2 linked regions of the Drosophila melanogaster genome follow. The protein of the gene in region 1 binds, or shares a complex with, the protein of each later gene. Each region holds a gene or a part of one and is shown on either strand. Other genes may lie near its edges. A codon is read from its position in the direction of its gene.

Evidence for each region.
Region 2: the proteins of Mlc1 (region 1) and Mhc are in contact, whole or in part, in a crystal structure (PDB 5W1A), measured with the Drosophila melanogaster proteins. Residues at the interface, in NP_001287569.1 of Drosophila melanogaster: Phe14 (codon at 3,233), Val15 (codon at 3,236), Val18 (codon at 3,245), Met19 (codon at 3,248), Asp33 (codon at 3,290), Arg36 (codon at 3,299), Ala37 (codon at 3,302), Asn39 (codon at 3,308), Leu40 (codon at 3,311), Asn41 (codon at 3,314), Pro42 (codon at 3,317), Thr43 (codon at 3,320), Leu44 (codon at 3,323), Glu78 (codon at 3,425), Gln79 (codon at 3,428), Gly80 (codon at 3,431), Cys81 (codon at 3,434), Asp84 (codon at 3,443), Phe85 (codon at 3,446), Glu87 (codon at 3,452), Cys88 (codon at 3,455), Leu89 (codon at 3,458), Lys90 (codon at 3,461), Leu91 (codon at 3,464), Tyr92 (codon at 3,467), Asp93 (codon at 3,470), Lys94 (codon at 3,473), Glu96 (codon at 3,479), Ala103 (codon at 3,500), Glu104 (codon at 3,503); in NP_723999.1 of Drosophila melanogaster: Arg25, Ile26, Ser29, Asp718, Lys720, Met721, Arg722, Gln724, Ile725, Pro728, Arg776, Leu780, Gly781, Ile783, Met784, Ser785, Trp786, Met787, Gln788, Ala789, Trp790, Ala791, Arg792, Gly793, Tyr794, Leu795, Ser796, Arg797, Lys798, Phe800.

What each region holds. Positions count from the first base shown.
Region 1 is NT_033777.3:27,656,498-27,662,145, reverse strand, and holds Mlc1 (myosin alkali light chain 1), read left to right. Parts: upstream 1-1,968; 5' UTR 1,969-2,033; coding exon 2,034-2,036; intron 2,037-2,189; coding exon 2,190-2,217; intron 2,218-3,224; coding exon 3,225-3,530; intron 3,531-3,590; coding exon 3,591-3,677; intron 3,678-4,032; coding exon 4,033-4,076; 3' UTR 4,077-4,079; intron 4,080-4,190; coding exon of another isoform or gene 4,191-4,234; 3' UTR 4,235-5,068; downstream 5,069-5,648.
Region 2 is NT_033779.5:16,764,642-16,769,929, forward strand, and holds the start of Mhc (myosin heavy chain), read left to right. Parts: upstream 1-2,092; 5' UTR 2,093-2,115; intron 2,116-2,284; exon of another isoform or gene 2,285-2,469; intron 2,470-3,135; exon of another isoform or gene 3,136-3,318; intron 3,319-3,942; 5' UTR 3,943-4,039; coding exon 4,040-4,243; intron 4,244-4,505; coding exon of another isoform or gene 4,506-4,649; intron 4,650-4,817; coding exon 4,818-4,961; intron 4,962-5,288. UniProt on the Drosophila melanogaster protein: Muscle contraction.

The sequences.
Region 1 (5,648 bases):
TTTGCGAAGCACACTTATCAATGATAACAAATGCCTGAGGATGGGCATTGCGTATACGCCGTGGGGTGGCCATTAGTACTCCTTTGTCTACGAGTCTTTGGGACTGCGACTGCGAATAAATAGTGTAGTATTAAAGTAGTAATGGCCAAAAATAAGTCACTGTCCCTTTCGGACTTGAGTGGAAATTAAATCCATAGCCTTTGTTCATTAATTAATCTTCTAGCTGATTAAGCACGCTTTATCCTTGCTAAGTTCTTGCCAAGTTCTTTCTGTATCTTATTTTAAGATAAGCATTTGAGATATATTTTAAATAACTTGATTACCAGCACAAAAAGCCCTTAGTGTAAATGTTGTTTACAGAAATGAGTTCTATAAATACAAGCACACAATTTCAGTCTCAAGGGGCTATTTATCAATGACTTGCGCACATTAATCTGCGCAGATTCGTGGCAACAATCGGCTGCTGATAGCAGATGTTCAATCAAGGACCAAATCGGCCTAAATACTCATGCACCAGTTACCCGCTTGACAACAGGTGGTGCCCCAAGGAGTAAACAATAACAAGGCCAGGGAGGCTGCGCGGCCAAAAGCCGAGCCGAGGACTCAATGGATTGAGAGATAGGACGAGACAGGACAGCCCAGAGAGTGGGTCTGATGAGCATCAGCCGGAAGTTGGGCACACAGCTGGGCTCAAAACTGGGTCAAAGAAGGACCTGTCCGATGGCACGAACATGGACGTGTGTACATCTACATTTACATAGAAAGTCAAGGACATGGGTGCATGGAAATGGATGTGCCGGCAAAGCCAATGGCCTGCTTGGCTTAATTGCCACTTCCTTGCCAGATTTGCCGCCTTTTAAGCACCTCGCTTACCCTTCAGGCTTGATCGGTCATTATATACCTACCACCCACCATTTGCCTATGCAAACAATTCGAGCATTTAGTTGTTGCTGTACATTTTTGCTCTGAATACGCTTCATGTATCTGTGTCATAGTTTTTATAAATAGCACGCATTAAAATGTTGTACAGGCGGCACACACAAGGCACAAGAAGGCGCCTGAGGGGCCAGTAATGCGCCTTCTATGTAGATGAGATGCCAACGAGGAATAGTATGCTTTTGGAGCATGTATAGTGTATAAATATTGAAAAAGGCTGGTGTTCAGGTGTTCTGGCAGCGGACAAACAAGAAATCGGCCATTTAACACCCCCACATACGACCGGCTGACAAAACATTTCGAATGATAACAGGCAAGACCTGAGAAATACGTACGTTTGCCAAAAAGACGATCAGGGTCGATGAGTGTATAAATATATACATGTATAGGCCACATTTATAGTACATAGCCCCATAGCCCCATCTAAACATCTAAACATACCCCGTAAAACCCCAGCATGGAAGCTCAATCTATTGCGCAGCGCTAAACAATCAATTCTCAAACCCATTCTCCTCCCGCCTGAATGAGAAAATATTATATTATCTGCAAAATCATCTGTAACATCGAATGATATTCAACACTATCCGGCTGGGAATGCCACAAGCGATTATTATTTTGCCTTCACGAACGAAATAAAAAGAAATATTCACAGAATAGCCGAAAAAAAACAAAATGCTTAAAAATAGCCCGGCTAGAGAGCGGACAACAAATGGCTCTGGCTCCATAGGAGAGCCTCCCAATATCTGGTGGTCGTTGGGATCCATGGGATCCCAAAAGAGAGTGGCATTCGAAAAAGTTCCCCCAAGATGAAAGTAAATTCTTGCCATCGCACATACTACAGCATATATTTTGGTGTGTGTATAGCCTTGCGCAGGAAAAGAGCGAGCGTTTCGTCATCCATTCGTATTCGTATTCGTTTTTGAATTCGTTTTCGAAGCTATAGCTGTAAATGTATCTGTATCTGTGTCTGAGTGCTCGGCGATCGGCTGGTTGGCTTTCACCTCAGAATTACCTTGCCGTACTGCCACTGACGAATAACGTTCAGTCGAGACCGAGCTCATCCGCGATACAGTTGATTTTCGCATCAAACAGACAAAATGGTGAGTGCCCAGTCGGCCAAGGAGTCTTCACACATCTTCCACCAATATCCAGTGATATAGATGTACATAAATATATGCAGCAGCTGAAAACTGAAGATTTTCCACACTCGAACTAATGCCAAACTCTCAAATCTTTTTCGATTCCGTTGACAGGCTGATGTTCCAAAGCGTGAAGTTGAAAGTAAGTTAAAACCCCGCACGAAAAGGATTATCTTTAACCTCAAACGAAATCCATCAAAGTTAAACCAACATATTAAATGAACGAGGTAACGGAAAACCCAGCAGAAAGGACTAAAAACAAGTATTATAATATCCATAAAAATACAGATTACATAATGTGCGCGTGTGAGATACACAACAAAAAGTACACAAAAGTCGGTGAACATATTTCGTAATCACTTGGAATATATCGCATACATATACGCATGCCTATATATATAACACTATGCGGAAAATTTTCATTAAGGAATGCTGTCGTCTATATGCATCGCCTGAGCTATTTTCATCGATCGACCATCCAAAACCAGAACGGATAAAGGTTGCCAACACAATTCCGGTAGAGAAAATCTAGTGCAAAGTTAAGTTTGATTTGCGTTATAGAAAAGCCGCGGAAAACAATGAAAATCGTGTGTGTATATGTCGCGAACCCGAACGCGCGATCCTCGTCTTCGAGCCGAAATGCTTCTCGTTTAGAGATCTAATTTTGGCCAAGTTATTTCTTTAGATTTATTTTCGATCAAACGCACAGCGAAAGAGATGAGCAAACTATGCGACTTTGTGTGTGTATATACGCCTATATACTGTGTATATAGCGCAGACGAGGGCGAAGGCGTTCGGTTCGGGTGTCGGATTACGTATACGTAGTGTGTTCTCGGGGCTGGCAACTCTCCCAGATCCGCACTCACGCATACACTCACACACTAAGTAGGCAATGCCCAGCAGCCATGTCAAGATTTTCATGATGACCAAAAATGTGCGTACCAGAAATTTCAGGGTTACCACATCGACCCCGTTTTCGAAAATAAAAAGGGTGGTCAACACCCACCTCTGCTAAAGTATTTTTAAAAACAATTAATGAGGCAGCATAATAAAATGAAACGAATAAAAACAAAAATTTGATGGGATTTACGTTTGATCGACTAACATGAACATGAAGATGTAAATGCTAATCGAGTTCCTTTTGCGCAGATGTCGAATTCGTTTTCGAAGTCATGGGCTCCCCCGGTGAGGGCATTGATGCCGTCGACCTAGGTGATGCCCTCCGCGCTCTGAACTTGAACCCCACCTTGGCGCTGATCGAGAAATTGGGCGGCACCAAGAAGCGCAACGAGAAGAAGATCAAGCTGGATGAGTTCCTGCCCATCTACTCACAGGTCAAGAAGGAGAAGGAGCAGGGCTGCTACGAGGACTTCATTGAGTGCTTGAAGCTCTACGACAAGGAGGAGAACGGCACCATGCTGCTGGCTGAGCTGCAGCACGCCCTGCTGGCGCTTGGTGAGTAATCAACATGCATATATCCTGGGATATCCCTCTAAATCATTGTGTGCATTACAGGTGAGAGCTTGGATGACGAGCAGGTGGAGACCCTGTTCGCTGACTGCATGGATCCCGAGGATGATGAAGGATTTATCCCCTACTCTCGTAAGTATTCGTTCAATGGACGATACTCATCTAATGTTTTTTGTGCATATACGATTTGTAAACGCCGTTTGTCTATTCCACATGTCACTCTTTGTCTGCGCACAAACCAAAAAAATCCCCACCATTCTGCACTGTGCACTTTGTACCACCAACTCGACCTGAAAAACACCAACAAACCTAAAAATATGTGTATGCGTGTATCCATGTTTGCGTGTCCATTCCTCCAACACTACACTCGCAAAAAAAAAAAAAAACCGACCAACTCCCGAATGTCAAACGTATGGTCTCTGCACGGTGATTGCGTCTTGTTTACCCGCCGTTTGTCGCCGATCCACTTGAAATTGAATGAAAACAGAGTTCGTCCAGCGCCTGATGAGCGATCCTGTCGTCTTCGACTAAACAGTAAGTAGGGATGGAGCCCATGGCCACTTCGCCGATCTCTGGATGTCTACTTGTCCAACAAATTTGGGGAATACCTTGCTAATATGGCCCTTTTCTTCGTCTACTCCACAGCATTCCTCGCCAGAATGTGTGACAGACCAGATCAGCTAAAATAGTTGAAAACAACAGCTTCAACAACAACCAACAAACAACAACAACAACAACAACAACACCAACAAACTTTTAGCGACAACCATTCTCCATAGATGTTATATTCATCGCTAACTCTCTCTATCTCTCTCGTATATTATTTTAATTAAAAATTACTTCTGCTACTACAACTGCAAAATTGAACTTCAAGATAATATTATTTTTTAAAAAATAAAAAAATTTAAATTATAAAATAACGAAAACAAAAAAACTGAAAAATATTCAAAGTTTTGTGCACATTATTTTGTTATGAATTATTTTGTTGGTTCAGCCAAAAGCAAAGCAATAGTTAATGATTATTTTATATGAGACGTGAATAAACCAAATAGCAAATAATATAATGTTTAGGCAAATTCAACATCCGAAAGCGTCCAAAAAGGGCAGTTAGCAAAACGCCAAATGTGTAAATTGTGGCCTTTTTGCGTTCTCAATTTACCAAGTGAATGTGTGAAAGTGAAATAAGTCAAATGTATTTAAATAAACACTAAGAATAATTGTGCGGCCGATGAGGTGTTGCACAATCAATATAAAAGAAGATCAGGGTGGTGGAAAATTTGGGATTATGCTATATAGGCAGCCAATATTAATACAAGATGTGGCTGACTTGTTTAATAAACTAAAAGTAATAGAGAAAGTTTAAAAATCTTATACTGAATCCACAAAGAAATATCTAGATATTTTCGCCGCAGACTGCAATACTTCAGCTGAGACACAAACCACCAACGAGAAGCAGGCGAAAGACTAAAATACCGTGTACTAAAATGTCGTTTTCGCTTTTTCTCAACGAGAGAGAGCTTTCGAAATGTTTGTTAAGCTTAGAGCTTGGTTAATATGGTTTTTGTCTCTACTTTCGTAATTATTATTTATTTATTATATTAAAATAGTAAGTGTAAGAAGGGGTGGAAATACCCGCATCCTGGTATCTACCTTCCTCGTCTAGTCAACAATAACAATTATAAACTAATCACAAAAATAGCTTGGGGGTTGAGATTCCGCTGAGCTTTTGCGTCGACGTCGAATCAAAAAAGTGTCAGAAAAGTTTCGGTTAAATACGACGACTACGAATCAGTTGAAATCGAGATAACAAACCGACAAGCCGACCGAGCGGGAGCTGTCTCGCTTTTTTTAAAAATTTGCACCAGCAAAAATCCAAATAAATTAGCAGAGTGCCAGTGAAGTAAGTGAGCGTGAGTGCGCCAAGTCAAAATATAAATATTGTCATTTACGCCGTTTCAAAATATATTTCCGCGAGCATTTCTCGAATCGAAAGTGAACCCAAAATATATTATTCCAAGTGAAAAGGACTAGCCCAAAGATACACACACACACACACAGGAAAAATACCGACAGATCTGTAGTCCTTTTCGAGTTTTCCCGTGA
Region 2 (5,288 bases), on another chromosome or scaffold:
GCATCTTTGAAATTGCCCATTGCAAGCAATAATTGTTGCTGCCTCGTGTAGACAAGCACCCCATGTGCACCCCCCACCACCCCTCTTGGGAAAATGTTGGTGGCCCACCAGTGCCAAAATACACAAGAAGAAGAAACAGCATCTTGACACTAAAATGCAAAAATTGCTTTGCGTCAATGACTCAAAACGAAAATGTTTTTGTGCTTTTCGAACAAAAAATTGGGAGCAGAATATTGGATTCGCTTTTTTCGCATCGAATATCTTAAGGGAGCAAGGGAAGAACCATCTAGAATAATAAAGAAGACCAAAATGTATCGTAACTAAAGGTTTTTTTTATTAATTATTAAATGTTAAATATTAACTTATACCAACTCATTGGCTTTACAAGTACAACAAATAACCCCAAAATAATTTATTGTCAGGTGCTAAATTGTTGTTTGTTGTTCTTGGAATTTGTTTTAAATGCTCAATTTATGTTTTTGTCTTTTTGCCCACAATTCTGCTCGACAATGTCACAGATTTTGTTTCAGAAACTTAGCAAAAAGTATTATAATTTTATATGTGAGAAAAGACTAGAGAGCAGCAAACCCTGCACCGAAAATAAAGGAAAAAAACACTCACACTTGAATGAGAACTGAAATCTTTTTCAAACTATAAATATTCCTCAAAAAATGTTTGAAAGTTGTTTTTGTCCGAATTCATGAGTTGTTTTTTTGCGTATTCTTTTTCCGCTACACAATAATCATTGTTAAATATTGAATATTCAAGACGGACCAACTCATTACGAAAAGTATTTGTCGAAAATACCTTGCAGTGGGTGTATATACATTTATCATATAATTCTTTGCCAAAAATGTTGCACATGAAATTTTGTAATTTTGCTTAAAATTATGAATAATTTCTGTGTCGGAATTTGACATCGTTGTAAGAGGGGAGACTATTTCAATTCTGTTGGCATTTATCATAATTCTCTTTGTCAGCATTATAGATTTGATAAATTCTCGACAAATCGCTACAACACGAATTTCATAATGCACTCGTATTTGCAATCGTATTTGTATTGGATTTTAGCATTGAAACCTAAAGATTTTCGCATCGCATTGCTCTGAAGGACGCCGACTACATTGATTTGATGTGGCATTTCTCTGTCTATCTATCTATATCTAAAGTATCTCTTCAACTATGTGTTTTATTTCGTTTTTTTTGCGTGCATTGCAATTGCTTGCATGTTCTAGCCCATCTATGTTATTTTGAAGTTCACATCATTACTTTTGGCGGACATGTGCTTGCTATGGCCGATCCTTAGGCTAGATAGATCATCAATCATTAACTCAAAGGATCGGGTTTTTTCGTTCTACAACTGAACGATGACCAAACGAATGTTTGTAGCCATTGATAGCATACGATCGGTCTTCTCGAACAGCTGTTTAGCCACTGATCGTAAAGTGATCGCAGATTAGGAGGAAAACCACATAGCGCCGCCTGATCGCAAGCATTCCCCCTGTATTCCACCCACATTGGTGCCAGATCGGATTGGCATTGAGGTGACCAAAAACCAAAACCAGAACAAAAAGCGAAAAATGATCACCGAGAAAAACAAATAAAGATCCCACCATGCCATGCCATACACACATGTGTGCGTCTAGAAATGATATGTGAAATAAGTAAAAAGAAAGCTCCCCTTGGAAAGAGCGAGGGATTCCGGCGGAGAAGAATTGCCTCACGGCGGAAAAGTTGTCATTGAAATGAATTTTACTATTTGACTAATGGGAGAATTGCGAGAGAGCCTACGCAATGGCAATCGTCGGAGAAGGAGCTTTCCGCTCTCGATTCCGCAACGATCCTGATTGCATCATATGCTCACACATATACCATATCCACCATCCCGCAATCCCCCATAGAAATGCCCACTTGCTAGAGAAGAGGAATAGGAATCAGAGCAGCCAAGTGCTAGACCGAAAAAGGGAGCAAGAAAAACCGAAACAGAAACAGCGCCACGCACACCGATCGTCGAATCGAAAAGCTTTCGGGGTCTTACGGGATCCATGGGTATCAAGTTGCCCCGTATAAAAGGCAAGTTTACCGGTTGCACGGTTCAGAACGGCTTTCGAGCGCGTAAGTGCAACACCTTTGATGTGCGATCTCTGATTTTTGGATATTACCACCCAGCAGCAGTAGCGGTAGCAGCAGCATCAGCGGCAGCAGCAACAATTTGACCTTTTGGTCAAAAAGCATAAAACTAAAATAATTATTACTACCTATATATATTTATATATGCAACAAAATCGAGAAATTTAAAAAAGTGTGTGTGTGGTGCTTTAACTACGATCCGAGCGAAAACGGATCTATTAAAACTCTGTGACAATCAGAACAGTGAACCGGAATACCTCGGATTATCGTATCGAATTGGATTACAAATAACAATCTTTTCTTAGGAAGTACATCAGTTACTTAACATAACCTATAGGCGTTAATTTGTTTTCTGAGAAGTATGCAACTATCTTCAACTTCTTGTGTAACAAATCTTTGACTTTCGATCATATCAGCGAAAAAATCTGAAAGTGAAGTAACAAGGATATAAGGAAACTTCTTTCTTACTTTTAGGACTCTCACAAAAAACTAGTTTATCCTTTCTCGCCCAAGAATTTTGGAATAAAAGACTTTCATCGTTCTAAATTTCGACTACTTAAAAAATTCTAAAGCAAATAGATCATTTAAATGTCAGAAAGAGACAGCCAGCTGTTACTTCATCAAATGAAAAATTCGTGTTTCGATGTGAGTTCGAAATGCTGTAATAGCCATTTCGAATTACTGGCGAAATGATTTCATACACAAATACCTGTGTGGCCGAGACATATGCGTATGCATACTATAGAAAATAGATTTAGAATACTCGAATTCGTTGTCGGCTCATATACATGGGCGAAATAATTTCGAATATGTTTTAAAAATAACCAAAGACATTAGAAAGAGATCGCCAATACTTATACATTATGTCTATGTGTGCCATGTGGTAGCATGAGCCAAAAAGCTTCTCGAAATTACGAATTACATATAGACGAATATGTATGTGACTTTAGTTTCGAAATAATTTCGAGAATTTTAAAAATAACGCATTCGTTAAAAGTTCGCGTCAATTCGAATCGAATTTTCGATTGTCGATTTAGTGTGGATTGTCGAAAATCGTTCCGCCTTCGAAGTTTACTGAAAGGAATCATTGCGATCTCGTGAATTGCTTGTATGAGAACACGCCACCATATCGAGATACCTGTTCAAAATATCGAAATCGCGTTCCAAACGGTAGTAGTTACCAGTTGAGTGAGTTGTGGTGACAGTTTAACCTCTCTACATTTGTAATAATAAGCATTGTTTTGGCGTATCAATAGTCTGTAGATTTTTTCACAAAGAAACCTGGAGAAATGTACACAAATATCTAAATGAAAATTGGCGTTACGTAACAAATACCAACGCCCCGAAAATCCGTATATATGCAAAGCATTCTGATATATATATATATAAGTGGTATACATATACATATTCGTATCGGATCCGTGATCTATATTTAGGCGACAACCCACACAATTCACTTGTTGTCTGTTTATAACAAAAACAACAACACAAGCACCGACCAGGCCTAATTAACTTTGAGGTGTGAGATAAAATCAAAGCCACACATAAATAAATATCCGGTTACGGTAACGGGAATTTCGAAAGCGCGAAACGGGAAAAATGTTCATATTTGGAAATCGAAATTAAATTTCGAAATCCTATCCACGCACACACGCGTAGAACTGTTATAGTGTCCGCTATTGCTGCTGCTGTCAAAATGGGTCAAAAGCATAAAATCCATAAAAGAATCAGACTTCGAAACAAAATTCCAAAAATAGTATGCTTTTCTGAGAACCATATAATAAATATTATTTTTCTTTTGTATATTTACAGGGAAGTTTTGGGCTCACGACGCGATTAACAAAGAAATTTTGAAAAGTCCCAATATTATTTTTCGAGTTTTTAAGTTTCTAAACGAAATTTAAGCAAGATGCCGAAGCCAGTCGCAAATCAGGAGGATGAGGATCCCACCCCATACCTGTTCGTGTCTTTGGAGCAAAGGCGTATCGATCAATCGAAACCCTATGACTCGAAGAAGTCTTGCTGGATCCCCGACGAGAAGGAGGGTTATCTCCTTGGTGAGATCAAGGCCACCAAGGGCGATATCGTCTCCGTTGGTCTGCAGGGTGGAGAGGTAAAGTCATCGTCTACACGAGGCTTCAGCATAAAAAAAAAAAAAAAAAAGCTATTGAAGAGTCTTATGGTCGACCTAAAGTGTTAGTCAATTGTTACCCAATGGGAAAATCTTCTTGGTACTACTACTACTACTACAAGAAGGGTTTTTCAATGGATAGCATAAGACTGGGACTTTGTCATGACCTCATACACTTCAATAGCTTATAATGTAGCCACAAAATTAGAATGAAACTATAGATTTCGCCTACATATACGATTAGGTACGAGATATCAAATCCGAGAAGGTGGAAAAAGTCAATCCACCAAAATTCGAAAAAATTGAAGATATGGCCGACATGACCGTGCTTAACACTCCTTGCGTTTTGCACAATCTGCGTCAGCGTTACTATGCTAAGCTCATCTACGTAAGTGTTGTACTGCCAGAAACTCACTAATGTATGGGTATCTCTTCTCTCTCTCTCTCAATCTCAAAAACGAACTGCTAACCCAACGTCTAACCAACAAATGTTGTACAAAAACTAAACATAACCAATCGAACTGAATCCGACAAACCGAACGAAAATGATAAACAGACACGAGACTTAAAGAAAGATCTGCTCCAGCAAGTGAACCCCCCGAAATACGAAAAAGCCGAGGATATGTCCAACTTGACATACCTTAACGATGCCTCTGTGCTCCATAACTTGAGACAGAGATACTACAACAAGCTGATCTACGTAAGTAATTGCCGATCAAGGGTGGCACACAAGTATGCGTTCTATGTTCTTACCCAACCGCTTATCTACCGCCAATCACTCACACTTATGAAAAAAAGAAAAACATCCCAAAATTTTTCAAAATTCGATTAGAGCTGCAACTAGTCTCCGAAGCTTTGAAGTATTTAACGCAATTGAGTAGACTGCTAACCTTAGTCATTCGCTCCTTTTTCGGACTTATGAAACTCATTTTATTAAGCCCTATGAAAAAAAAAACATAACCCCAGCTAATTCCTCATTTCCTGTGACGTATGCACTAATCCAGCTTGTATTAAAACGAATCTTGGC